Anolis sagrei: one gene and its partners. The protein of the gene in region 4 interacts with the protein of the main gene of each other region in a pairwise test. Links are inferred from orthologs where the notes say so. Each region holds a gene or a part of one and is shown on either strand. Other genes may lie near its edges.

Evidence for each region.
Region 1: the proteins of THAP1 (region 4) and METTL13 interact in binary tests that used the Homo sapiens proteins (3 or more experiments, as listed by UniProt). The two-hybrid records come from large-scale screens. The link is inferred for Anolis sagrei from reciprocal best matches to the Homo sapiens genes THAP1 and METTL13.
Region 2: the proteins of THAP1 (region 4) and BAG5 interact in binary tests that used the Homo sapiens proteins (3 or more experiments, as listed by UniProt). The two-hybrid records come from large-scale screens. The link is inferred for Anolis sagrei from reciprocal best matches to the Homo sapiens genes THAP1 and BAG5.
Region 3: the proteins of THAP1 (region 4) and AKAP17A interact in binary tests that used the Homo sapiens proteins (3 or more experiments, as listed by UniProt). The two-hybrid records come from large-scale screens. The link is inferred for Anolis sagrei from reciprocal best matches to the Homo sapiens genes THAP1 and AKAP17A.

What each region holds. Positions count from the first base shown.
Region 1 is NC_090024.1:130,532,156-130,539,938, forward strand, and holds the start of METTL13 (eEF1A lysine and N-terminal methyltransferase), read right to left. Parts: upstream 3,005-7,783; 5' UTR 2,967-3,004; coding exon 2,805-2,966; intron 1,113-2,804; coding exon 353-1,112; intron 1-352. Other genes in the region: ITPA (inosine triphosphate pyrophosphatase), read left to right, coding at 3,077-3,136, 6,284-6,341, 6,416-6,480, 7,083-7,156. UniProt on the Homo sapiens protein: Dual methyltransferase that catalyzes methylation of elongation factor 1-alpha (EEF1A1 and EEF1A2) at two different positions, and is therefore involved in the regulation of mRNA translation.
Region 2 is NC_090021.1:327,332,373-327,339,400, forward strand, and holds the start of BAG5 (BAG family molecular chaperone regulator 5), read left to right. Parts: upstream 1-4,021; 5' UTR 4,022-4,296; intron 4,297-7,028. Other genes in the region: COA8 (cytochrome c oxidase assembly factor 8), read right to left, coding at 1,118-1,285. UniProt on the Homo sapiens protein: Co-chaperone for HSP/HSP70 proteins. It functions as a nucleotide-exchange factor promoting the release of ADP from HSP70, thereby activating HSP70-mediated protein refolding.
Region 3 is NC_090023.1:98,414,711-98,422,215, forward strand, and holds the start of AKAP17A (A-kinase anchor protein 17A), read right to left. Parts: upstream 3,009-7,505; 5' UTR 2,748-3,008; intron 1,717-2,747; 5' UTR 1,306-1,716; coding exon 544-1,305; intron 1-543. UniProt on the Homo sapiens protein: Splice factor regulating alternative splice site selection for certain mRNA precursors. Mediates regulation of pre-mRNA splicing in a PKA-dependent manner.
Region 4 is NC_090022.1:156,694,230-156,701,442, forward strand, and holds the start of THAP1 (THAP domain-containing protein 1), read right to left. Parts: upstream 3,001-7,213; 5' UTR 2,762-3,000; coding exon 2,691-2,761; intron 1-2,690. UniProt on the Homo sapiens protein: DNA-binding transcription regulator that regulates endothelial cell proliferation and G1/S cell-cycle progression.

The DNA of each region.
Region 1 (7,783 bases), on a different chromosome or scaffold from region 4:
TGTTGAAACTGTGTAGTAAGTGAGGCCATATTTTAGTTCTTGCGGACCACTAGTTGGGAATCACTGATTTAGAAGAAAGAAAGTAAATGTATATCTCTGCTGAAGGATGGACATATCAGAGCTAGTTTGCTTCCCAGTACTTGGAAAATTTACCAAAGACAGATATAGTCTTAGAACAGATAGCCTTAACTGCACTACTGCTACCCAATAGCATTGCTACCCAACTGTTTTTAGTATAATTGAAATACCCAATTCCCTTAGTCATTATTAGCAGTATATGGGGGCAAAAGGCTATAAGATGTTTTCTTGGGTTGTTTGGATTTAACGCAAGCTCCTGAGCACACAAACTTACTGATGAAGATGGCAAATTGATTGTCACAGGACACTTTCACGGTTGGGTTGTGTACAACATGTAAACTATAGCGGACTTGGCCGGTATCAGTATCTTTGCTGCAGAGATCAAGACAGATGGTCCCTGCATTGGGATTTCTTCTGAGCTGACTCCGTAACAAACAGTACTGTTGTCTCTCTTCTACTGCCTCAATCAGATGCTGAGTGCTGCTGAATCGGACAGGTTTGTGCTGTTCTTCAGTACACAGCTCTAGGATGCACAGAGTTGAGCCTGGGACAGGCTTTATCTTTGTCATAATATAGACAAAGACAGGAAGGGCAAACTCTCCTTCTGAAGTGTCTGTTTCATTGCTGGAGACTTGATGTATTCGAACCATCCATCCTTGCTGGTAGAAATGTTCCACAGCTGCTTTCAACACATGTGCTTGTGCCAAGGAGACACAAAGATAACGGCCCCCAAATCGCAGGACCCGGCCAATTTCAGCAAACATTCTTTCAGCCCTTCTCAGGCTGATTTCTTCTGCATCAGTCAGCAGAGCATCAAGAGTGCCTTTGTCCAGCACCACTTGAAAGTGCCCATCAGGGAAATCCATCTGCAGCACATCCATAACCATGTAGGTCATCTTGGGTCTTAGATGAACACTGCGTTCCTGCATCTGTTTGATGACCAATTCACTTATGTCCACATTAGTGATATCTTGATAACCCTCATCATAGAGTTCCTCGCTCAGTTCTGAGTTTCCACAACCTACAACAAGAATCTAGAGGGAAAGAAAAGAGAATATTTTGAGGAAACCAAAAAGGTTGCTTTACAGAACAATTTCCAGAAGAATCAGACAAAAAGCTTGAAAAGAAATATTGACCAGAATATCACCTCCACATTTCCGATGCTTTCCTTTATATAGTACACACACAAAAATGTAGCTGCTACAGAGATCCCAAGAGTTAGTGCGTAACACACCAAGGTCTTTCTAACCAACTCCACTGATATGCTTTGCTTTTGCGATCCCATATTCTCACAAACATTTTTTCAAAAGTTGCACAGGATCAAAAATGTAACTGTGAAGGTGAAGGATATTTTCATGTTTCCTGATTTTTTTTTAAAAAAAATGCCTGCTACAAGCACAAAGCAGCTTAGGAGAATATTGAGTATTCTTACTGATACAATAACACTCTTCTTATTTAAAAGTAAAAACACACTCAATATGAGACAAAGCTCGTTTCTTATTTCTAGTTTCGTATTCCCATGAAGCTTGATATTGTCGAGTTATGTAGATAAATAAAGACATGAGGTTTAAATGTCCCTATATGCCAACTTCAGCTGTCAAACACATGGTGTATTACAATAGTCAGAAAACTACTCCATGTAAAAAAAACATGCCATTCTACCAAACCATTTCTGAAAACCAAATATAAAACTTATCAGAACTACCGTAGATAAAGAAAAGATATTCTGTAACTAAAAATTAATGTCTGATCCTTCCAAATCACAAACCCTCATGTACGCAGTGAAGTATTATTTATTTTTATCTGACCCAAAGTTTCTAGGCAAAGGGGATTCTAACACCTAAACCAGCCTTTAAAATAAGGAGCTGGCTTGCTGGACACCAACAGAGTGAGTTAATCACCTCAAATCAAAGTGTAGTAAAAACGCTCAAAGTGTATAATGCAAAGTCTAACTGAATCATATTAACCAGAATTTGGGGAAAGCACAGCAATACAATTATAATTCAAATTTACATTCCAACTAATGTTGTTTCCTCTCTGCTGTTGTGCTGTTGTAATTTTAGAGTTTTTTAATACTGGTAGCCAGATTTTGTTCATTTTCATGGTCTCTTCCTTTCTGTTGAAATTGAGACCATGAAAATGAACAAAATCTGGCTACCAGCAAAACAGCAGAGAGGAAACAATCAGGCACATCTTAACACCTCTCAACAAAAGATTTTCCCAGGCTCAGGCAGGCCTTCAAATGCTAATGAAGGTGGTCAGTTGAAACATTCACACCTAGCTCTAGCAGAGAAGAGCTCTTTGCCCCATCCCAGCCATTCCACAGATATATAAACCCATTGTCCTATTTCCAACAGACCTCACAACCTCTGCATCTATGCTTGCCATAGATGCAGGCGAAACGTCAGGAGAAATGCCTCTAGAACATGGCCCTATAGCCCGAAAAAACCCACAAGAACCTAGTGATTCCAGCCATGAAAGCCTTCGACAATATTTCCTCTACTGTTCCTATTGCTAAGGCATAGAAAACTTGGGCCCTCCAGGCGTTTTGGACTCCAACTCCCACCATTCCTAACAGCCTCAGGCCCCTTCCTTTCCCCCCTCAGCCGCTTAAGCGACTGAGGGGGGAAAGGAAGGGGCCTGAGGCTGTTGGGAATTGGAATCCAAAACACCTGGTGGGTCCAAGTGTGCCCATGCCCGCTATGGCCTGCTATAGCCGCTCTCACCGAGTCCTGAGGGCGCAAGTACCGTCCCAGCGGCGCCCGGAGGCTTTTCCAGGCCCCGTACCACTCGAAGGCCCTCCCGCCGCGCTCCCGGAAGAAGCGCTCCCAGAAGTCGGCCGAGGCAAAGTCCTTCGCGCGGCGCGGCAACAGCCGGAGCTCCGCCATGCTCACTTCCCAGTTCCAACTGAGGGAAGAGGCCGAGTGCTTCCGGGTAGCGGGGCCGAAGCGCGGGGCACGTGCCTACTGCGGCTACGCGCGCATGCGCATGGGCGGTCATGGCGTCTGCGGGGAGGACAGTGGTGCTTGTCACCGGCAACGCAAAGAAACTGGAGGAGGTGAGAAGAAGCAGGGCCCACCTCTCTCTCCACTCCTTATCCACTTTGATAAGATAGGAATTATTTTAGTCTTGGCAATCTTGCTCGCTATTTATTTAAGGACTAGCCGGCCCCTGCCAGGCGTTGCTGTGGCCCAGTCTGGTGATCTGGAAAATAAAGTAACGAGAAAGTGTTGGTTTCTAATATATGTAATGTCTTCATGCTTGTGGATAAGCAGTACTTCTTGCTGTTTCTTTCCCAGTGTTGATGTGGAGAGTGTCTGCTCTGCCTACTTTGGAACATGTAACATATCATTGTCCTTCTTCAGGGGTCCCTTTCAAATCTATGATACTATATCTCTCTGTGTGTGAATCATATCTATCTATATCTATGGCTGGATGGGTCTTTGTGAGGAGGGCTTTGATTACGTTTTCTCGCCCTGGTGAAGGGAGTTGGACTGGATGGCCTTAAGTGTGGGGGTTCTTTGTGAGAAGTTTGGCCCAGTTGTGTCATTGGTGGGGTTCAGCATGCTCTTTGATTGTAGGTGAACTATAAATCCCAGTAACTATAACTCCCAAATGTCAGGGTCTATTTTCCCCAAACTCCATCTGTGTTCATATTTGGGCATATTGAGTGCTTCTGCCAAGTTTGGTCCAAATCCATCATTGTTTGAGTCCACAGTGCTCTCTGGATGTAGGTGAACTACAACTCCCAAACTCAAGGTCAGTGCCAACTAAACCCTTCTGGTGTTTTCTGTTGGTCATGGGACAACTTTGTGCAAAGTATGGTTAAATTTCATGTGTTGCTGTGGCCCACTGGTAGTCATGGGGGTTCTGCGTGGGAGGTTTGGCCCAATTCTATTGTTGGTGGGGCTCAGAATGCTTTGTGATTATAGGTGAACTACAAATCCCAGCAACTACAACTCCCATATGTCAAGATTCTATTTTCCCCGAACTCCACCAGTGTTCACATTTGGGCATATTGAGTATTTGTGTTGTGATTGGTCCAGATCCATCATTGTTTGAGTCCTCAGTGCTCTCTGGATGTAGGTGAACTACAACTCCCAAACTCAAGGTCAATGCCCACCAAACCCTTCCAGTATTTTCTGTTGGTCATGGGAGTCCTGTGTGCTAGGTATGGTTAAATTCCATCATTGGCAGGGTTCAGAATGTTCCTTGATTGTAGGTGAACTATAAATCCCAGCAACTACAACTCCCAAATGACAAAATCATTTTTTTTGAGTGATGGTCACGCCTTGGGTTAGTAGATGTCTTGTGGCCAAATTTGGCAGCAATTCATCCAGTGGTTTTTGAGTTATGGTAATCCCCCAAACGAACATTACATTTTTATTTATATAGATTGGAAAGCTTTTTCTGATATATAGACTGGATGAGGTGAGATGAGTGGTCACCCCCCCCCCCCCCCAATATTTTAGTTGTGAGTAAAAATCTAATGTATTGTCGAAGGCGTTCATGGCCAAAATCACTAGGTTGCTGTGAGGTTTTCAGGCAGTATGGCAATGCCTTAGTAGCATTCTCTCCTGACAGGCATCTTCAACAGTTTGTGAGGTCTCTTGGAAACGAGGCAAGTGGAGTGTATATAAATGTGTCCAGGCTGGGAGAAAGAACTCTTGTCTGTTGAAGCAAGTGTGAATGTTGCAGTTGGCAAGCTTGGTTAGCATTGAGTAGCCTTACAGCTTCAAAGCCTGTCTGTTGTTACCTGGAGGCATCCTCTGTTTGGGAAGTGTTGTTAACTGGCACTTGATTGTTGTCTGTCTGGAATTCCCATTGCTGATTAGTATTCTTTATTTGCTGTCTTGATTCTGTTCTTTTTTTAAATACTGGCAGCCAGAGTTTACTCATTTTCATGGTTTCCTCCCTTTTGTTGAAAATTGTCCACATGCTTGTGGATTGCAATGGCATCTCTGTGTAGTCTGTGTTAAAATATGTTAATTTTACAGAACTAACCTAAGTCAACCTAGTTTGGTGTTTAGATAGAGCACAAGCTTCCACAACCTTGCATATCATGAATGTTCACTGTCTACTACTGTCTTTAAACACCTGGCAACAAAGTACAAATTATACTGTGCAACACAATTGTTTGTTCCTGGGTTATAAATGTCATTTCCTCATTGGTTTTATTATAAAAACATGGAAAAAGTTTATCCAACTATAAAAGTTTTACTAGGTTCTTGTGGGTTTTTTCGGGCTATAGAGCCATGTTCTAGAGGCATTTCTCCTGACGTTTCGCCTGCATCTATGGCAAGCATCCTCAGAGGTAGAGGATGCTTGAGGATGCTTGCTACCTCTGAGGATGCTTGCCATAGATGCAGGTGAAACGTCAGGAGAAATGCCTCTAGAACATGGCTCTATAGCCCGAAAAAACCCACAAGAACCTAGTGATTCCAGCCATGAAAGCCTTCGACAATATATAAAAGTTTTGTTTTAGCGGGACATCCTTCAACACATTTCGTCATAGTTTTTCAATAAATATCTCCCTAAGAGTTTCAACCAACTCAACATAGTTTGTGGCAGCCATACGGAGTATAACAACCACTTCCAAAGTAAGCACTTTACAATTAAACAGGAAATAACACTTTCAAGTCAGGAATATACACATTTTTTTCAAATTTTGTTACATAGTGTTACGGGAAACTTTTTTTTTCATCCTTAGAAACATTGTACTAGATCGGGGTCCTCAAACATTTAAACAGAGGGCCAGGTCACTGTCCCTCAAACTGTTGGAGGGCCGGATTATAATTTGAAAAAAACATGGATTAATTCCTATGCACACTGCACATATCTTATTTGTAATGCAAAAACCACTTAAAAGCAATACAATAATTAAAATGAAGAACAATTTTAACAAATATAAATTTATTAGTATTTAAATGGGAAGTGTGGGCCTGCTTTTGGTTGAGATAGGGTTGTTGTTGTTGTTGTGTGCTTTCAAGTAGTTTCAGACTTGGGTTGAGCCTGAGTGAGGGCCGGGTAAATGACCTTGGAGGGCCGTATCCAGCCCTCAGGCCTTAGTTTGAGGACCCCTACATTAGAGTTAAATGTTACTGCCAGAGATTTGAAAGGCACAAGGTGATGTTGTTCTTTGCAGGGGGGATGTGACCATGAAGCTGGTGGAAACCAACTGATTATTTGGTCCTTTATCTTGCAGGTGATTCAGATCCTAGGTGATTCCTTTCCCGGCAAACTGGTTGCAAAAAAAATAGACTGTGAGTCTCTACCTTATTTTGTTACATTCTGTATAGCTCTTACTCTGTGGTAACCATGACTTTTCCTTTTCTAGTGCCTGAGTACCAAGGGGAGCCTGATGACATTTCTATCCAGAAGTGCCAAGAAGCAGCTAAACAGGTCCTTCTCTCTGAACTTTGACATTCCTTAGCAATAGTAGGAATCCCAAATCCAACAGCCATTAAAAATCTCCTTTCCTTTAAAAAATACACTGCTATCCTTAAGCCTTTTGAGAGTTGTACTACCTCATCATAATGTATAAAATAAGATACATATTCAGCTGAGAGCTGCAAGTTATCATTATTGTTACAGGCGTTATTGACTCTCTTAACGTTAAATTCTGTACTTATTGAGCAAGGATGTAATAGAAATGATCTGTGGTTAAAAAAAACCTAAATAATCAGGAGTGACAAAAAATACATGTGACTATTGCATGCAATCTACATGATAGAAATAATTATTTTGTAGGCCTTTAGTTGCTTAAGAGTGGGACACAATATTTCAGATAAATATCTAAGGCACCATTAATCTTTTGGTTTAATTTTAATTTCATGTCTGGCCATGTGATGTTGACAAATAAAGTGGGATTTGTGTTTTTTCTCAGTCCTTGGTGAGTGTTTATTTTAGCTTGCTATAGTTCATAACTAGTAGTAGTCTTGTTCTTTATTCGTGGATCCAATTTACAGTTCTGATATCTTCTTCACTGTATTATCTTTTTACAGATTCAGGGACCAGTTATAGTAGAAGATACTTGCTTGTGTTTTAATGCTCTTGGAGGACTCCCAGGGCCATATATGTAAGTATGCATAAACGGTTAGCTGAAAGCATGCATATTTTTTAAATCCCACAATTCTTTGTAATCTGTAAGCTCTTAGCATTTGCTGTTATTGTCTGAAAATATACAGGAAGTGCAATCTTCTCTGAGCTACATAAGGAGTCTGCAAGGCTATATAACAAAACAGAAGAGGGGGAATAGGGCACAATAGAAATAACATTTCAGAATTCTAAAGATCCTGTCTTGAGGGATTAACTATGTGCACAGCCTCACTAGAATTACCATTCACAGTGAGTATTAATTAATATTAATTTATAGTTATGAATATAATTATTATTTGTTGCCCACCTCTCCTTACAGCTCAAGGCAGGGCACAGTATAGTTAAAACACATCATAACAATACATATATTAAAATATACAATATCTGCATATTAAAATACATATAACAAAGATTAAAATATAACAGATACAAGACATGACCTTAAAATTCATAGTTTAAATTGATTAGGTAGATCTACCAGAAGAGATAGATCTTCAGTTGAGTTTTGAATTCTTATGGCTGATTTAGCTGTTGGAGCTCTTCCGGCAGGTCATTCCACAGTCTTGGGGTAGCTGATGAAAAGATCCTCTGGGTAATGGTTGCCAGT
Region 2 (7,028 bases), on a different chromosome or scaffold from region 4:
TATATACGGTATATGGCAGCGTGGATTCAGCCTGGAGGGGACGTGGTTTTAAAAAGGGAATTTTCAGATATTTCCCCAATGCCCATATGTCATGATTTACTGCCATATTGGCCTATTTCTGCAGTAGGCCTATGTTCACAGAAAATGGTGATTGCTTGAGAAATCAGTGCTCCAAAGAAGAAGTTACTATTCAAGAATAACAGTATATCCGGAGAAAACCAGCTAGCTGATGGCTAGTTAGAACCCCCAAATTTCCAAGTTGCTCTGGAGTCATGTTTGCAACAGACTAACAGATAAGATACAGTCATGGTCAGAGAACAATGGACTATAGTCATGTTATAGTTGTGCCATTGTTAGGATCCCACGTGTGTTATAATGTCAATAAAAATCATAAACAACTAATGAACAACTGTATAACTAACTTAGACCAATGAAATGATTTGTCTTTGGGAACCAATGAAAATGTATATTCCATTTACTATAACTGCTCTGCAGCCCCATTGGGGGTTGCGACAAACCCTTTGATTGCATCCCTGTATGCTTGTTTGTCGTTATTGCTATGGCCACGCAATAAATAGTTTTTGCAGTTTAAAAGGTTCAACTTTCGTGGTGTCCATCCTTGCCCTCCCTATTAGAAAGGGGGCTTCTGCCTTTTGGGGAAATATTCTGGTTTCGTTGCCCCTACAAGCCTAGGACACAAAGCAATGGATTTAAACTGTAGGGGAAAAGATGCCACCAAAACATTAGGTAGAACTTCCTGACTGCAAGAGCTGCTCGGCAGTGGACTGTGCTGCTTTGGAGTGTGATTGAGTCTTCTTCTCTAGAGGTTTTTAAAGAGAGGCAGGATGGCCATCTGTCAGGAGTGTTTCATAGTGTGTTCCTGCCTGGCAGGGGGTTGGACTGGATGGCACTTGTGGCCTCTCCCAACTCTAGGATGCTATGAAATAAAGTATAAATGACAACTATAAGCGTTACAACCAGTTTGTTCTCCAGAAACCTTAAACTCAAGCCGTGTTCGCCATTTTGTATCCTCATCACAACAACCCTGTGAGGTAGGCCGAGGCGGGGCCCAAACAAAGCGAAGCCTTGCCACAGGCACTCTCTGCCCTGCCATTACCCGGCTTTCTGAGGGAGGGGGTCCGCCACTTTTCCCCGGCCCTCCGGTGCCCGAGAAGCCCCCAGGAGACGAAGAGGAGGCAAAGCCGCCGGGCAACGGGGCCAGCGCCACGCAACTTCGGAAGCTTTTGAGGAAAACGCGATTCCCTCCCACCTTGGAAGCCGCCATGATGGTTTGTGACAGCTCACGCATGCGCAAAGGATAGGAAGAGGAGGAGCGTCGGGCTGAAGCTGCTGACGCATGCGTAAAGGAAAGGAGGGCTTGGAGAGCCGCTTTCTCGGCAGCTGACGCATGTGCAAAGGAAATGGTGTTGCTAGTGGGGGGGGGGGGGGGCGAGGTCCTCGGCAACTCACGCATGCGCAGTGAAAAAAAGGGATGTTTATCAGAAGTCCTGTGTCTGGTTGTGATCCCCAGGTTGTGCCAGTCAGCTTTCGTATGATGTTGTTTCTAGTGCCCACTTTTTGCTTGATGTTCAGGCAGTGCTTCTTGTAGGTCAGAGCATGGTCCAAAGCGACTCCCAGGTATTTGGGTGTGCTGCAATGCTCCAGTGGGATTCCTTCCCAGGTAATCTTCAGAGCTTCTTAAGGTGAAAGGCGCATGTCTGTGTTTTAGATGGATTAGGGATCAGTTGGTTTTCCCTGTAATAGGCAGTAAGAGCACCTAGAGCTTTGGTGAGCTTCTTTTCAACCATCTCAAAGCTCCCTGCTTGAGTGGTAATGGCATGATCATCAGCATAGATTTATTTATTTATTTACCTTACTTATATACTGCTGTTCTCAGCCCGAAGGCGACTCACAGCGGTTCACAACAAATACGAACAGCAAAAATTCAGTGCTACAGTATAGAAACAGTTAACAACCTAACACATTACACAATTAATAAACAGTTACTACAATACCCATTCACTGTCGTCTTGTCATCAAAAACATGTTCCGGATTCGTCATCCATTGTTCCATTCCAGTGTTCATTAACCAATCATTGCACTAATTATTCGAACGCCTGCTCAAACAGCCAGGTCTTCACCTTTTTGCGGAATACCATTAGAGATGGTGCTAGTCTAATATCCGCAGGAAGGGCGTTCCACAGCCGAGGAGCCACCACCGAGAAGGCCCTATCTCTCGTCCCCACCAGCCGAGCTTGAGAAGCAGGCGGGATCGAGAGCAGGGTCTCCCCGGAAGATCTCAAAGTCCTGGTAGGTTCATAGGCAGAGATGCGATCAGATAGGTAGCTTGGGCCGGAACCGTTTAGGGGTTTAAAGGCCAACGCCAGCACTTTGAATTCAGCCCGGTAGCAGATCGGTAGCCAGTGGAGTTGGCGCAACAGGGGGGTTGTATGCTTCCAGCGCTCCGCTCCTGTTAAAATCATGGCTGCCGAGCGTTGGACTAGTTGGAGCTTCCGAGCTGTCTTCAAAGGCAACCCCACGTAGAGAGCGTTGCAGTAGTCTAAACGGGATGTAACCAGAAACTCTCTGTCCCTTCTGGCAGTGGCTGGTCATTTGTGTAGATGTTGAACATGGATGGAGCAAGCACGCTCCCCTGAAGCAGGCCGTTCTTCTTTCATACGAAAGCTGACTGGCACAACCTGGGGATCACAACCAGACACAGTGAAGACATCTACCCTTGCGCTATGCTACTCTGCTGCTGAGTACGCATGCCCAGTGTGGAACACATCTCACCACACTAAAACAGTAGATGTGGCTCTGAATGAGACATGCCGCATTATCACGGGGTGTCTGCGCCCTACACCACTGGAGAAATTACACTGCTTAGCCGGTATTGCACCACCTGACATCCGCCGGGAAGTAGCAGCCAATAGTGAAAGGACCAAGGCAGAGACATCTCCAGCTCATCCCGTTTGGGTATCAGCCAGCACGTCAATGACTTAAATCTAGAAATAGTTTTCTAAGATCTACAGAGACACTTGCTGGAACACCTCAGCAAGCGAGAGTCCAAAGTGGCAGGCTCAAACCCAGAACCTCAACCAATGGCTGATACCAAATGAGAGACCCCCCCTGGGCACACAGAGGACTGGGCGACTTGGAAGGCGCTGAACAGACTGCGTTCTGGCACCACGAGATGCAGAGCCAACCTTAAGAAATGGGGATACAAAGTGGAATCCATGACATGCGAGAGGAGGAAACCACTGACCACCTGCTGCAATGCAACCTGAGCCCTGCCACATGCACAATGGAGGACCTTCTTGCAGCAACACCAGAGGCACTCCCAAGTGGCCAGATACTGGTCAAAGGATATTTAAGCAACTACCAAACTGACAAGTTTTGTATTTTGTCTGTTTGTTTGCTTTGTTCTGTTAGAAATGTAATATAATGGACTGGTTGCTCTGACACGACAAATAAATAAATAGTACAGATATGCTGCATTCTCACAAGACACTGAATTAGAAGTCACCATAAGATTTATATCTGTGGTTCCCAATTTAACTAATTTTACACACACCAGCTGCTATATAAATATACTGCATTCCTTTTCTACACCAAGAAATCTAGACTATACTGGTCAAAGGACATTTAATCAACTACCAAACTCACAAATTGTGTATTTTGTCTGTTTGTTAGAAATGTAATATAATTTGACTGGTTGTCCTGACACGACAGATAAATAAATAGCCATTCACTCATGCGCAAAGACAAATCTGGCCTATCCCTGGAGTTGTTTGGCGATTTACGCGTGCGCAGAAACCAAAGAGTAATCCCTCGGCCATTCACGCATGCGTGAAGCAAAAAAAAAAGTAGACGAAGGGCCGTTAATAAGTCAACGCCGGTTTCTCGCAACTCGCGCATGCGCAGAGAAAAGTGGGCGGGCTCACGAGGCCGAACCCGATTTCCTTGGCAACAGGCTTTCAAAAAAGGATCCCCCAAACAAGCGAGGGCGGGTGTTGGTGTTGCTTTACGGCACTGTCGCGCGAGAGAAGGAGTGTTCGTCTCCTCCGCCTGGAAAGTGCCTGTCAGGGAAAGAGGGCGAGTGCGCATGCGTGTTGGGAGCCAGACTGCTTGGGTCGGGATAAAAGTAGAAGCAGGAGCCGGAGGAGGATCTCATCTCCCTGGGGCGCCGGAGGAGAGCCCTGGGATGGCGGCTGCGGTGGGAGGGGCTCTGAGGAGCCCGTCTGCCTGCTTTTGGGGCCCGTGCTGACAGGAGAGAGCGTGGGGACGGCGGGGAAGGTAAGAGGGAAAGCCCCGGCTGACGTACTTTGTGAGAACTGCATGCATTTGAAGGGGATTTAGTCTCACAGTGTTTTCTGTTGGTCATGGGAGTTCTGTGTGGCAAGTCTGGCCCAATTCTGTCGTTTGTGGGACTCCAAATGCTCTGATTGTGGGTGAACTATAAATCCCAGCAAACTACAACTCCCAAATGTCAAGCTCTATTTTTCCCAAACTCCACCAGTCTTCACATTTGGGCGTGCTGAGTATCCATGCCAAGTTTGGTCCAGATCCATCATTGTTTGACTCCACAGTGCTCTCTGGATGTAGGGGAACTACAACTCCAAAACTCAAGGACAATGTCCACCAAACCCTTCCAGTATTTTCTGTTGGTCATGGGAGTTCCGTGTGGGAAGTTTGGCCCAATTCTGTCGTTTGTGGGACTCCGAATGCTCTGATTTTGGGTGAACTATAAATCCCAGAAAACTACAACTCCCAAATGTCAAGGTCTGATTTCCCCAAACTCCACCAGTGTATACATTTGAGTATACATGCCAAGTTTGGTCCAGATCCACCATTGTTTGAGTCCACAGTGCTCTCTGGATGTAGGTGAACTACAACTCCAAAAGTCAAGGTCAATGTCCACCAAACCCTTCCAGTATTTTCTGTTTGGGAGTTCTGTGTGCCAAGTTTGGTTCAATTCCATCATTGGTGGAGTTCAGAATGCTCTTTGATTATAGGTGAACTATAAATCCTAGCCCCAGTGGCGCAGTGGGTTAAACCACTGAGCTGCTAAGCTTGTTGACCGAAAGGTAGCAGGTTCGAATCCAGGGAGCGGCGTGAGTTTCCGCTGTCAGCCCTAGCTTCTGCCAACCTAGAACTTTGAAAACATGCAAATGTGAGTAGATCAATAGGCACTGCTCCAGCGGGAAGGTAACGGTGCTACATGCAGTCATGCTGGCCACATGACCTAGGAGGTGTCTATGGACAACGCCGGCTCTTCGGCTTAGAAATGGAGCTGAGCACCACCACCCCAGAGTCAGACATGACTGGACTTAATGTCAGGGGACAACCTTTACTTTACTTATAAATCCTAGCAACTACAACTCCCAATTGGCAAAATCTATTTTCCCCAAACTCCACCAGTGTTCACATTTGGGCATATTGAGTATTTGTGCCAGAGTTTGGTCCAGATCCATCATTGTTTGAGTCCACAGTAGGTGAACTACAACTCCAAAACTCAAGGTCAATGCCCACGAAACCCTTCCAGTATTTTCTGTTTGGGAGTTCTGTGTGTCAAGTTTGGTTCAATTCCATCATTTGTGGAGTTCAGAATGCTATTTGATTGTAGGTGAACTATAAATCCCAGCAACTACAACTCCCAAATGACGAAATCAAACCCCCCCCAACCCCACCAGTATTCAGATTTGGGCATATCAGGTATTTGTGCCAAATTTGGTCTGGAGAAGGAAAATACATCCCGCATATCAGATATTTACATTACGATTCATAACAGTAGCAAAATTACAGTTACGAAGTAGCAATGAAAATAATTTTATGGTTGGTGGGGTCACCACAACATGAGGAACTATATTAAGGGGTCACGGTATCACGAAGGTTGAGAACCACTGGTATAAAGGGAAATGAGGGGTTTGCCTCATTTAATGGAAAATAAAGGGGGGGGTTCATCTATAAGTAAGTGTAAAGGGAAATAAAGAGGGGCTGCATCTACTCCTGCACTAGGAAGGAAAATAAGGGGTGGTCATCTAGTATGAAGGGAAATAAAGTGTTAATCTATTAGTGTAAAGGGAAATAAAAAGGGGGTTCATCTAATATAAAGGAAAATAAAGAAAGGGTTGTTGTCGAAGACTTTCATGGCCGGGATCAATGGGTTGCTGTGAATTTTCCAGGCTGTTGGGCCATGCTCCAGAAGCATTCTCTCCTGACGTTTTGCCCACATCTATGGCATGCATCCTCAGAGGTTGAAGAATCTGTTGGAAGCTAGGCAAATGAAGTTTATATATCTGTGGAATGTCCAGGGCGGGAGAAAAAACTCTTGCCTGCTTGAGGCAGGTGTGAATGCTGCAATTGTCACCTTGATTAATGGTCTTGCAGCTTCAAAGCTTGGCTGATTGCTTCCAGAGGGGGGATCCTTTGTTGGGAGGTGTTAGCTGGCCCTGATTGTTTCCTGTCTGGAATTCCCCTGCTTTTTGAATGTTGGTTCTTTATTTACTAAAATCTAAAATCAGGACAGTAAATTTTTTATTTATTTATTTGTCGTGTCAGGGCAACCAGTCAATTATATTACATTATTACATTACATTATTACATTATTATTATTATTATTATTATTATTATTATTATTACAGTAAATAAAGACCAGCACTCAATGCTCAAAAAGCATATATTTGTATAAAGGGAGTGCACCTATTAGTATTATTTATTTTTATTTATAAAGTATTTCTACCCCGTCTCTTCTCTACTCAGGACGGCTTACAAAGTGTTCATCTATTAGTATAAAGGGGCTGCATTTATTAGTATAAAGGGGGTGCATGCATTAGTATAAAGGGGTCCATCTGTTAGTATAAAGTGTTAATCTATTAGTATAAAGGGGGAGGGGCATCCATTAGCATAAAGAGGGTTCAACTATCAGTATAAAGGGTGCATCCATTAGTATAAAGGAAGCATTATATTGTCGAAGGCTTTCATGGCCGGAATCACTGGGTTGTTGTAGGTTTTGTAGGTACCTCTGA
Region 3 (7,505 bases), on a different chromosome or scaffold from region 4:
GACAAAGCTGACTCTGGCTTAAAAATGGAGATGAGCACCACCCTCGAGAATCGGACACAACTAGACTTAATGTTGGGGAAAACCTTTACTTTATAAGTCTAGAAATTTTGGTCAAAAATCAACTCAAAAATCTCCCCTCAACTTATACATGTTGACTTATACATGGGTATATGTCCCTTTTAAAGCCACTCAAATATGTAGCCATCATTACATTTTGTGGTTGTTATGTACTTTTGCCTTTGAAAGAGATGGAAATTTACCTTCCTTTCTGTGTCCTGTTTAGTCTCATTGGATAATCATTGATTACACCGTTACGAAAAAGTAAGAAAATCTTTTGCAAACTTGGAAATAATTTGTGAAAACATAAAATAAAGCTGAGACTGCTACTGTTTCTCATTTCCCCAACTCACTGAAACATTAATCCAATTTGTGACAGTAGAGAAAACTGCACAAGCCTTAAATTGTATGCTTTTTTCAAACATACAAAAAATTTCATCTAACATTCTCTAAAAATATATACCAGGAAAAGCTCAGATACTTCACCTTTATGTTGCAAGCCACTGCTTTGCCATCTTCACCTTTGTACATTAGCTTCATCCCCCGCAAAGCATTCATAGCCTTGATAAAGCCTGCATATTCCTCATATTGAACATAAGCTTCAAAATTCAAATGCCCTCCAAAACTGAATGTATGGAAGTTTCTTCCAGTCATTTCTTCCCTGTATGGATCCAACATGGGAATGTCCACATTACGAATTTCCCCAAATTTGTTAAACACTTTAATAAGAACTTCTTCATTTGGTTTTTCTGAGCCAGAGTCTTTCAGTGCAAACCATTTACAAGGCAAACCCTCCAAATGAATAGTGTCTGGTCTTTCCCCTGGCAGAGTTTCATTCATATCTTTTGCATCACGAAAAAAGGAATCCCAGTCATGTCGAGTAGGAAAATCAATTTTGTATTCTGCAGCACGAACTTTGAGAATGTCCGAAAAACCACTTAGTTTTATAGTTTTGCCATCTAGACATGTAAGGAAGGATTTAACCAGACCCTTATTTTCCACTTCTCCTTCAAAACGAATGAAATCCATGGTGCTTTTGGAAATTCGTAAAGTTGAGAATTGATGTGTTTGCACCATTCCTTTCAGCCTTTCCATCACTTCCCAATTGGAAATAGACTTTCCTGGTTGCTTTAACTGTGGAAGTGCCACACTGATCGTCATTTTTGTAATGGGCTTGAGGAATAGTCCATATGGAGCACAGAGCTCCACAGCTTCGGAAGTATCATGAACTATTGTAGCAGCTGCCATGGTTAAAAAGTTATGATTCTAGCAAGAATAGGCTTATCTATTTTGTAGACATGGATAGAAAACTGTTCCTCTATTTGAATAAATTACCATTTTAACTACATCTCAAAATCAGCTTTCAAAGACTGATTGTAAGTTCTCTGTCTTTTAGGGCATGTGAAATGTTATCATTATATGTGAATCCATTAAATAGGATTCCATTTTTAACTGTGCTGTTCTAGTGTTCTCTAATTGAAAGCAATATAAATTATCTTTGCAGAGTAACTGTAAAAGTATACAAGGAATAATAAGAATGTAATTTGCAAAAAGGAGCCTCAAAAAGTAGTCTTCTTGGAGCACACTGCTTCGACGCAATTCTATGAATTATCACAATCTTGCGAGAATTTCATCATTCATAAAAGCTGGGAAAATATTCTGTGGAAAATTGAAATAGATGAGTTAGTGTCTTGTTTATTAGATAAAAAAAGTATTTCTAAACATCATTGCCAATAAACATGGTTGCTCAAATTAACTGAAATAATTTATGAAATAAGCATCTTAACAACCCTTTTATTTAGTCACAGTATGTTAGGTGAAGACAAACGGGTAACAACTTTAGAATCCTGAGTGTAACAGAATGCAGAATTACAGCCTCAGCAAAACAAACTTACAAATTACACAAGTGTGTTAAAAAGGAATCTCATAAATATCATAGTTAAAGAACTTTATATCTGATACAGGATATCAAGGCAGAAAATCCCACATTATCTGCATGTGGACTCAGATAACCCAGTTCAAAGCAGATATTGTGAGATTTTCCACCTTGATATCCAAGGATATAGGGCTGTGTGGAAGGCCCTGAGATAACCTAGTTCAAAGCAGATGTTGTGGGATTTTCTGCCTTGATATTCTGGGGGCCCTTCCACACAGCCCTACATCCCAGAATATCAAGGCAGAAAATTCCACATTATCTCCTTTGAACTGTGTTATCTGAGTCCACACTCTGCCTTGATATTCTGGGATATCGGACTGTGTAGAAGGGCTCTCAGTCCACACTGCCATATATTCCAGTTCAAAGCAGATAATGTGGGATTTTATTCAGGTGTGTGGAAGGGGCCTCAGATTCTGTATGGAAGGGCCCTGGGCATAGATAGGGAGAGGAAACTGTAGTTGCAAAACGGGGCACGGACCATGTTAATTAGCCACAGATTAGCCATTAACATAAAATACAAACGTGTCAGCGAGAGCAGGGCTTACTCTATTTGTGAACATCCCAACTCTAGCCAGCCAGGGGCATCGAGTGGGCCTCCCAAGACAAAATGCTCCAGAAGATGGTCTATTTATAAAGCGCCCAAATCTTGCCCAATTCCTCCTTCTTCACAAACCCAACCACAAAAGGCCAAGGAGATACGCTCCCTCTCCCCTGAAAGCACCTCCTCTTATCCAGAAAGGCTGCAGAGACAAACCTAGCTCATGCCCAGTTGACACCAAGGCCTCTCCTCTCCACGCACGACCATACGCACCCTTCGGCCTCGTTCTGAACCGCGACGGGAGGGGCCTCCACGGCCATCTCGCGCCTCTCCTCCTCGCTCCCTCGCTCGCTCCCTCCCTCGCGGGCTGCCCCAGGCGCAAGGCGACGCCGGCCTTCCCACAAGGCCCAGCGCCACCAAAACAAAAAAACTTCCGCTTCCCTCAAGACAACCAGGAACCTCAGTAAGCGAAGTAGCGAGCAGGAGGACCGGAAGTAGAGAGGCCGGGAAGTGCATAGAGCTAGCAAAGATAGAGCGGCAGACACTCTCTTACGGAGATTAGAGCGTTTCCTGTTGTCAGGGATCAGATGGCGGGCATGACTTGGGGGCGCATGCGCACTGAATACAAATTCATACGAAGTCTGAGGCCCTTTCTAGACAGCTGAATAGAATCCCTCATATGGACTCTGGGCCATTCCACGCAGCCATATAACCCAGAATATCAAGGCAGGAAATCTCTCAATATCTGCTTTGAACTGGAATATATGGCAGTGTGGACTCAGATAACGCAGTTCAAAGCAAATACTGAGGAAATTGGGTTGTTGTAGGTTTTTTCGAGCTATATGGCCATGTTCTAGAGGCATTTTCTCCTGACGTTTCGCCTGCATTTATGGCGAGCATCCTCAGAAGTGGTGAGGTCTGTTGGAACTAGGAAAGGGGGTTATATATCTGTGGAATGACCAGGGTGGGACAAAGTACCCTTGTCTGCTGGAGCTAGGTGCGAATGTTTCAACTGACCACCTTGATTAGCATTTGATGGCCTGTTCTTGGTGTGGCTTGTTAGTGCATTATGGTGGTCAGCTGAAATCCGTGAAATTTTTAAAATTCTAAAATTGCAACAGCAAAAACAGCAGAGAGAAAAACAGGCAGGGACATCTAGTCACCTTTCAAGAAGAGTTTGCTCCAGGCACTGTCAGCCCATTGTATGCTAATCAAGGTGGTCAGTGGAAAGATTCACACCTAGCCCAACTTACAAAAGCCCTTTGTCTTACCCTAGTCATTCCACAGATATATAAACCCCTTTTTCCCCAGCTCCTGCAGACCTCACCTCTGAGGATGCTTGCCATAGATGCAGGCGAAACGTCAGGAGAAATGCCTCTAGAACATGGCCATATAGCCCGAAAAAAACCCACAAGAACTGAGTATTATTGGAATGTTGTCCGGTCACATCCAAGACCCCTGCCTGTAATTTCCTTAATACCCTTACAATGTACTGGGAGAAGTGGAGGGGAGGGAATAATTCAATGGCTGTATTTAAGATTGTTTTCTGCTTACTTTTAATTTTTTTTATTAAAACAGATTAAAACAAAACCTACATAGACCCCCCCCAAACCCCCCCCCCCAAAAACCCCATCAACAACATATTATAAATACTTTTTCTAGAACAATACTACTGCATCCTAAACATTTTAAAAAAGCAATAACTACAAACAATTTAATCTAAGGGCTTTACATTTTGTCTGATGGTTATATTCCGTCCATTTTCTACACCCATTTAGTGAAAAGGAACCATTGGTACATCCTTTCTCATAGAATAACACACTTCTAGTCCAAAAAACCTGTGATGTAGATTTGGCCCCATCTTTATTGGAGGAACACAATAAATGGGCCCCAGTCTTTCTTAATGTTAGTTAGAGATTTCTCCTTAATCAACGTAGTGTGTTTCCTGCTTCTGTTGATAAGATTGAGACTATCTGAGAGAAAGATCTGGCAACCATGCCCCTAGCCAATTTCACCTACTGAAATGGACATCATCCCCAAATATCTATTATGTACATTGGACTGACCCTATTATGTGCACTGGAGCAAGACTATTAAGCCCAACAAGGACTCTTTGCAATTTGCCACACCACATTCCTTTTGATCGTGCCCCTCTCGGAGGTGGATCATTAAGCAGACTGATACTTTAAATGTTCCAATGATAGTTTACTGAATTTCTTGCCATCAACACGCGCTAAACAGCACTGACCTTGGACAGAGTCCTGAGCTATTTAGGACAAGGTTCCTAGCCAGATTGTTTCCCAACCAATCAGGAGCTGGTATGAATTTCTTTGATGTTGCTTGATCAGGTTCCTTTTTTATCTGTGAAAGTTGGAAAGTATGCTCTAGGAGATTTTCTGCCAATATAGTTTACTTGGAGTAACAACTGCTAGCCAAAAAAACCTTACTTCTAAGGAAACATGCATTGGACTATGTTCTGTCACGCGCTGGGCCTGTAACAATTGTCTTTTCTATAGGATGTATACTTTAAGCCCAGTAGGAAGCCGGGGTGCTCCAAAGAAAGGGTATCAGGGTTTTTTTCCTGAAGTGATGGTCTTTAGAGACTTTCAAGATATAACAAAGTCTTTATTAAGGAACAAACAACAAATCTTCAATGGTTCAAACAACACTTCAAGGCTTTCTTAGTCTAGTCCTCAAGGAACTGGTACCTGACTTTGATTAACTGTACTTTCTCTATAAGAAAAAAAACCCTGTTTAACCTCTCCCAGGCTATCTATTATCTATGTCTCGTTGGTGTGGGTACTACTACCAATTCCAAATGCGTCTGGGCTTCGAGTAGACCTACCAGCCGAGGCTTGTAGATATTAAAGCTGGAATTCCGTGGATCTGTAATGCTGTCCTTTCTCCGAGAATTCTTTGAAACTTCAGGGCTGTTTTCCCTCTGATGCTGTGAGGCTGAGAGGCTGTGAGCTCTCAGCCAGAGCCTTGGGACCTTTCTCCTGGAATTTCTGTTTCCCCGGATGTTCTTGAGAAAGGATGCTTTTCTACGGGACGAGCAGGTCTACGTCCTATAGTTTAGCTTCCTTGTGTGAGACTGCCCAAAAAATGGCTCCTTTCCCTCCCAGAGTCCTGAACAGGGGGCAGAACCAAAGCTTAATTATAATGGACAGGAGGCCTGTCCTATGACTGCAAAACGGATAACAGAAAGAAAATAAAGTTGGAGCTCCTGGTACAGCCATACCAGCACAGACTGTGTTGCTTATTATTAACCACCCTGTAGCATAATATGTGGAATTCCACTAGAGGAGGCTGTTGTCATAAGATAAACTTTGAATTATGTTGACTGGCAGAAACAGTATTTTCTTGGAACCTAAAAAAAGTTACATATACTTTACCTTAGCATAGGCCACCTAATCGATTGGTCTAAACAAGCCTTAGAAAAACTCAAAAGGGGAAAATTGATCTATCAGTGGTTATTAACCATGATGGCTCAGTGCAGAGATGGGGATCATATGGTCTTGCAAATATTTTTAAATTGCAACTCCTATCATCCCACACCATTAACTATACTGGCTAGGACCGCTAGGACATCCAGATCCACAATATTTTGAGGGCACCATGATTTCCACCTCTAGATAAGCCCTCCTCTATAGGCAATGGAGAATATTATTGTAGTTGCTGTTAATTTTTATTCTGCCTTTTTCACTGATCAGTGATAAGTGATCAGGGCGTTAAACCCCTGTGCCGGCAGGACTGAAGACCGACAAGTCACAGGTTCAAATCCGGAGAGAGCGCAGATAAGAGCCTTCTATCAGCTCTAGTTCCTGACACCAGGGCCGTAGCCAGAAAAAAATTTCGGGGAGGGTTGACAATTTCGGGGGGGGGGGCGTGTTGAAAATTTCGGGGAGGGTTGAAAATTTCGGCGGGGGGGGGGGTTGAAACCTGCCTCCTAGCTCACGCTGAAGCAAAGAGCACAGCAGGGGTAGAGCAACCTTCAATAGCCTGCAGCTCCGCCCCTGTCAACCACCTCCACCAAGTCTGGCCTCCTTAATGAGAGCATTCAACACACACACTCCCAACTTGGTTGCTTCACTACATCGGCTATTGCTACAAGTAATGACAGTGTGAATAAATTGTCAATATTTGCTTGAGATAGGGCTTGCAGTTCTGGAGGGACTCTTAATTTTTGCATCTCATAGACTTAGCATGGGGTTTTGGTTAATCAGTTAAAATTCATGAGTAAACCAGGGTTTTTTTAAAAAATCTGAAACATTTCGGGGAGGGTTTGAACCCCTAAAACCACCCCCTCGCTACAGGCCTGCCTGACACAACCAAAAAAACAAACAAACCCCTGATCAGAAGTTAAAGTGGCTTGTTGTTTTTACCTTCAAGTCATTTTTAACTTATAGTGACTCCCAGGCAGACATATAATGAGGTTTTCTGAGGCTGGGAGTGTGTGACTCACACAAGTTCACCAAGGGGGTTTCAATGGCCCAGCGGAGAATTAAGTTCTGCTCTCCAGAGTAGTAGTCCAATGCTTAAATCATTACACTATACAAGCTCTCAAAGCAGCTTACAATTTTTAAAGTATCACTAAATATCTATAAAATTCTAATGTTAAAATAAGATTAAATAACAAAAAAATATAATCAGATTAAAAACTTCATCATTAAACATACACATGTTGGCACAACAATTAGTCATATCCAACACATTGTGTAAGACCTTATATAGTCACACATCAAATGTCAGCCAGAACAGAAACATCTTTACTTGTCCGAGATAAGGAAGTAGGGAGACAATGTGATAGTTTCCCTCTTCATCCGATATTGCATAATTTGCTCTGATGAGGCATATGATAATCTTGTTATATCATATAGGCAATAAGATGTATGTACTATCCACATGGGATGCTCTGTCTGCAATCCTCCCCTAAAGCTAGATCCTGAAAATGTGACTTCTACACTTGACTAA
Region 4 (7,213 bases):
ACACTTACTTCTTGGGAGGAGAGCAATGACCTATCTCGATAAAATAATGAAGAGTAGAGACATCACACTGGCAACAAAGATCCGCATAGTTAAAGCAATGGTATTCCCTGTAGTAACCTATGGATGTGAGAGCTGGACCACAGGGAAAACTGAGTGAAGGAAGATAGATGCTTTTGAACTGTGGTGTTGGAGAAAAGTTCTGAGAGTGCCTTGGACAGCGAGAAGATCCAACAAGTCCATAATCCAGGAAATAAAGCCCGACTGCTCCTTGGAGGGCAGGATATTAGAGGCAAAGATGAAGTACTTTGGCCACATCATGAGAAGACAGGAAAACTTAGAGAAAGCAATGATGCTGGGGAAAATGGAAGAAAAAAGGAAGAGGGGTGGACCAAGGGCAAGATGGATGGATGGCATCCTTGAAGTGTCTGACTTGACTCTGAAGGAACTGAGGGTGGTGACGGCTGACAGGGAGTTCTGGCGTGGGCTGGTCCAGGAGGTCACGAAGAGTCAGAACCGACTGAACGAATAAACAACAACAACACAGACAATGCCATTGGTGTTGCCCGTTTTTGGTCAAAACATCGAGAAAACCAAAGTGCTCTTCCAGCAGTCACCAGTCAATCCCTCTCCAATACCAGAGATACAGCTTAATGGTGTAATATTAGAAAATGTTGACCATTTCCGCTACCTTGGCAGCGGAAATTGTCACCACAAAAGCCACCACAAAAGTCAACATTGACACTTATATACACCACCACCTGAGCTCTGCGAATACAGCATTTTTCTGAATGAAGCAGAGAGTGTTTGAGGATGGAATATCCATAAGGATACCAAGGTGCTTGTTTATAAAGCTATTGTCCTCCCAACCCTGCTATAAACCTGCGACACGTGGGCTATCTACAGATGTCACATGCAACTCCTCGAATGATTCCACCAGCGCTGCTTCCAAAAAATTCTACAAATCTCTTGGGAAGACAAGCGGACAAATGTCAGTGTGCTCGAAGAAGCAAAGACCACCACCAATGAAGCAATGGTCCTCCACCATCAACTCCGCTGGATTGGCCACATTGTCTGGATGCCAGACCACTGTCTCCCAAAGCAGTTGCTCTACTCTGAACTCAAAAACGGAAAACAAAATGTTGGTGGACAGGAAAAGAGATTTAAAGATGGGCTCAAAGCTTTGAGATCTTCCGGGGAGGCCCTGCTCTCGATCCCGCCTGCGTCACAGGCACGGCTGGCGGGGACGAGAGATAGGGCCTTCTCGGTGGTGGCTCCTCGGCTGTGGAACACCATTCCCGTGGACATCAGGCTACCCCCCTCCCTGTTGATATTCCACAGGAAGTTAAAGACCTGGCTATTTAAGAAGGCATTTGACCAAGAAGTGCAATGACTGGTAATTTGACCATAGGAATGGAACAACGGAAATGATATCGGATTGTGGGTTGACGATGAGACGATTCGGAATGTAGTAGAAATTTGGTAGTAATGTTGATGTTTTGATAAGATGTTTTTCTGATAATGATGAATTGTAGATTATTTTGCACTATGTTTTGTAATTTGCACTTGTTTTTTCATGTTGTACACCGCAATGAGTCGCCCTTGGGCTGAGAATTGCGGTATATAAGCGCAGTAAATACATAAATAAATAAATAAAAGCCAACCTTAAAAACTTTGGCATAGACAACGAGAACTGGGAAGCCCTGGCCCTTGAGCACTCCAGCTGGAGGTCAGCTGTGACCAGCAGTGCTGTAGAATTTGAAGAGGCACGAATGGAGGGTGAAAGAGAGAAACGTGCCAAGAGGAAGGTGCGTCAAGCCAACCCCAACCGGGACAGTCTTCCACCAATGCCCTCACTGCGGGAGAAGATGCATGTCAAGAATCGGGCTCCACAGTCACCTACAGACCCACCAACCTTGGAGGACCATCATCCTCGGACTATGAGGGATTGCCTAAGTAAGTAAGGTCAAAACATATTTAGCTGCTTGCGTTCCTTCTATTTTTATCAGTTTTATACTAATTTATGCAATGCTTTTGACATGAAATAAATACTTGAATGACTACCAACAAGTCCACCGATGTCATGGATGGTGCCTTCATTTTACACCATGAAATCCCCTAACATCCCACAATATATCACACATGCGACATGTACATATTTTGCCCTTCACCTTTTTTAGGGCTTATCCTGATAAGGAATGAGTCCATGATTGCCATTATGCCTGATTTTTCCAGGTGTTTTGGACTTCACCTGCATGAATTTCTGACAGTTGGCCAAATATCTAAAACAAATGGAGCTTTGAAGCAACATGACCAAGAGACTATTCCGTTTGACCAGTTTGAAAACAAAATGACAGCCCTCCGACGTCACTGTCAGTCAGGCGACGGTTGAAACGGGCGCGCGTTCCAAGGCCTCAAAGTCAAGCCTCAGTCCCAACGGTTCTGTTGAAAGCCTGCGCGCGCGAGGGAGAGAAAAAAAAGAGGGGGTGCGCGTGCGTGCGTGCGCGCGCGACTACCCCAGCCTTGCTTTCTTTGCTTAGAGACCTTTTTTTGAGGCACCCCCCTCCCTCTCTAAGGAGCGTGCGCGCGCACTCGTCCACGCATGCGCTCTGGCTCCGCCTCCCTTTCAAGGCAGGACAGCTCGCTCTCTCTCTCTCCTTGCGAGCTCTCCTGCCCCCGCCCCTCCCACTCACTTGTGGAAAGAGATAGGCTTCTCTTTGTCGTATCGATTCCGGCAACGGTAGGCAGAGCAGGACTGCACCATCCTCTCGTTGCCGTTCGCCACGGATCCTCGGCCGCCACCGCTTTGCTCCCGTTTTCGGCAGGAATGGGCCAACAGGAGGATAGGCCGCGCCGCCCTGCCCTTAGGGCCTCAGCGGGGCCTTAGCGTCCTTCTCTGAAAAAATAATAAACATTGGTAAACCCTAAAGGACGACATCAGCGGGATGTGGCCTCTCCCTACTCCAACATGGCGGTGCCAGCTTCAGGCGAACTCTCTCGAGAACTCGGCGCCAGGCTTGGCGATTGGTCCCTCCCCGCGATGTTTTGGTGCGCCTCGCTTCTGCTCGGCCCGGCCAATGAGAGCGGCGCTCGGGGCTTTGACGCACGGGCTGCATTTGGGCGCCTGGGCCCGCCAAGAGGCGCGCGCGCATGCGCAGTGGCTTACTACCCTGATCGAAAGCGCTGGCTTAGTGCTTTACTTCAAGTTGTCCCTTCCTTGCTTCTGATTTTAGGCCGGTTTTAAAACGAAGCTTGAGACGGTGAACATATTTGTATTTCTCTATTTCTATATAAGTGTAGGACTGAGTTGCAAGTGTCTTTTTATTTATTTATTTATTTACTTACTTACTTTGTATACCGCAGTTTCTCAGCCCATAGGCAACTCAACGCGGTTCACAACAAGAGCAAAAAGACAATCATAACAATATACAATTTAAAAACCATTAAGAGCATAATATACAAAGTAATGACACATCAATAACAACACATTAACGTCTCGTAACTAGAATCGTGATCCAATTTGTCGTCTATAATTCCGTTCCTATATTCATCGTATTCATTGCACTGTTTATCCGAATGCCTGTTCAAACAGCCAGGTTTTTAGTTTTCTTCGAAACACGATTAACGTAGGAGCTGATCTAATGTCCATGGGAAGGGTGTTCCACAGCCGAGGGGCCACCACAGAGAAAGCCCTGTCCCTCGTCCCCGCCAGCCATGCTTGTGATGCAGGCGGGATTGAGAGCAGGGCCTCCCCAGAAGATCTTAGAGTCCTGGTGGGTTCATAGGCAGAGATACGTTCGGATAGGTAGCTTGGGCCAGAACCATTTAGGGCTTTATAGGCCAACGCCAGCACTTTGAATTGAGCACGGTAGCAAATCGGCAGCCAGTGGAGCTGGTGCAGCAGAGGAGTTGTATGCTCCCTGCGCTCCGCTCCTGTTAGTATCATGGCTGCCGAGTGTTATTTCTGTCACTAACAAGTTATTGGGCATGCATCTACACTGTAGGAATGATGCAGCTTGATACCACTTTAAACTCCCATGACTCAGTGCTGCAGAATCATTGGAGATGTCGTTTGGTGAGATAAAATAGTGTTTTGCTTTGTTTTTTGTCGTGTCAGGGCAAGAGGATGTGAGGGCGATCTGACTGCGACATCTGTCACCCCATTGATTGCCAGGGTTGATTCGGCTGATCTGGCTGGCTAGGCGGGTGTCCCCTTCCTCCCTCACCGCTGTGCGCTCGGTGGAAGAGGACAACGTCCCAGGTATAGAAGGAGTGTACCGAGGTCTCCAGTCTTCAGTCCCGGGTTTACGATAGCTGCACTCCCCTGCTAGACCCTCCAAACAAGCTCAAGATAAAATAGTGAAGAGTAGAGACATCACACTGGCAACAAAATCTGCATAGTTAAAGCAATGGTATTCCCCATAGTCATCTACGGATGTGAGAGCTGGACCATAGGGAAGGCTGAGCGAAGGAAGATAGATGCTTTTGAACTGTGGTATGATGAATATGAAGAGTATGATGCTGGGGAAAATGGAAGGAAAAAGGAATAGGGGCCGACCAAGGGCAAGATGGATGGATGGTATCCTTGAAGTGACTGGATTGACCTTGAAGGAACTGGGGGTGGTGGAGACCAACAGGGAGCTCTGGCGTAGACTGGTCCATGAAGTCACGAAGAGTCGGAAACAACTGAACGAATGAACAACAACAAAACTACAGCTTCCACAATTCCATCTCATTGTGCCATGGCACTTGTGGTGTCAAACTGCATTAAAGCCACTGTTTAGATTTATTTATTTATTTACCGACTCAGGGCGGTTCACAGTTGGCAACATTTGATGTCTCATCAAATATTGTGAAAAACATTTGTGTAAAATATAAAAATTGTACAAAACCATAAAAACATTATCATGAGCATCTCCTTGTTAGAGGCATCTTAGGGAAGCACTAACTCTGTTTGAGTCCACTTTGACTGCCATGACTGGGATTTCTCTGGAATTTGCTGCAATAGAGAGATCTAGGTTTGTAGTTCAGATGAGTTAAATGGAGCTGTCCAGCGAAGAGTTTAGCTTCAGGCTAAACTAGACTACAGACACAAGGATCCCATAGGATGGAAACAAGGTAGGGAGACATTTATTTCACATGGTGTCTGAATGCATCACTACTGTGCACACAATGCACTCTTGGCTCATTTGTGTGTGAGAGCCAGTACATTTGGAAATGGCAACCCATTGCAAAATCTAGGAAACCACTGCATAAAGATCTCCTGGAGAAGGTCTGGCGTGCTCGCTTCGGCAGCACATATACTAAAATTGGAACGAGAAGGTCTGGCATCTCAGTGTAAGGTTCCCCGTTCCTGGTTTTACAGGATGCTTGCTTATGAATATATTGAGTCCCCTCTGGGAAATATAAAGTAGAGTATATATATAATAATATTAATAATCTTTGTTAGGAGCCCCCGGTGGCGCAGTGGGTTAAACCCCTGTGCTGGCAGGACTGAAGACCGACAGGTCGCAGGTTCAAATCCGGGAAGAGGCGAATGAGCTCCCTCTATCAACTCCAGCTCCTCATGCAGGGACATGAGAGAAGCCTCCCACAAGGATGATAAAAACATCAAATCATCCGGGCGTCCCCTGGGCAACGTCCTTGCAGACGGCCAATTCTCTCACAGCAGAAGCGACTTGCAGTTTCTCAAGTCGCTCCTGACACGACCAAAAAAAAAATCTTTGTTTACACATTTATGCCCTGACTTTTTTAAAAAAAAAATCCCACAAAACACCTTACAGATAGAGTGAAAGCATTGGACAATTGAGTAATGAGGAACCTTGCTGGCTTCGATATAGGCTCATTTTTAAAGAGAAAAAAGATGATAACATGATTTTTCAAATGACTAGGCATTGTCCAGTGGAAAATATACTGTTGAAGAAACACCTTCAACAGTATATGTTATGGGAAGAGAATAACATTTTTTTACGTTTTTGACATATCCATCAGCTTTCCCCTCCCCCACAGATCATGACAATATCTGCTATGCTTCTTCAGCATCTACTTGCTATTCATATTTAGAGGTTGCCTTGCATGTGTTGCCATCAAAAGAAATGAAACAGATCCATAACATTTTTATTTATGTGTACAGCTGAGCAGCACCCTCTTTTACTGTAGAAATTTGTCTGAATCAGTGTGCGTAGCTCCCTCATCTTGCTTTAAGGGTTAGGGTGTAAGCATTTTGGTCAACCATAGTTTCAATATATTTTCCCAAGCAACAATTAAATAAGTGCACCTGGTGAAAAAATACATGAGTTTACCACCTCTTGCACCTGCTGCGTGGCATGTACTGACATTGCTCTTCCCTAAGGGCTGCAGAGGCGGTATGCAAATACATCAAAAACCTATGTGGTTTAATCCAGTCTAGAAAAAAAGTTGAAATACAGTTTTATAGTCTGACTAGCTGTACCCAGCCACGCGTTATGAGGCATATAGGTATTATTATTATAGATGTTATTTATTTATTTATTTCATATCAAAAGCATTGCATAAATTAGTAGAAAACTAGTAAAAAATAGAAGGAGCACAGGGCTAAATATTTTTTGAGCAAAAATGGGCAACAGATGTATGGATATTATTACAGACCGATAGATATTATTATAGGCATATAGATATTACTATTATTATAGATATTATATAGCTATTATTATAGATGTATACATATACCTATATTATACCTATATAGATATTATTATTATTATTATAGTCACGGATATAGGCAGACAGGTATTATTATTATAGATGTATAGATATTATTGACAGATAGATAATATTATAGACATATGGATGTTATTATAGACCTACAGATATTATTATGGGCATATAGACATTATTATTACAGACGTACAGATATTGTTATAGACTTGTAGATATTATTGTTACAGACATATAGATACCATAGACATATATATATTATTATAGACGTATAGATAATATTATGATAGATATATAGACATTATTATTGTAGATATTATAGCCCAGGGTTGCTATAAAGTAAAAATGGATGGCCATCTTTTGGGAGTGTTTTGATTGTGTCTTCCTGGACAGCCTTTCCTAATTCACAGTGCGTGCCTTCCCTGTTTTTGTCCTTTCTTTGAATACTGGACTTCATTTCCCAGAATTCCTTCCCATAACTCATTATGGGTGAGCTTTCTAGGAGTTGAAATATGTAGAG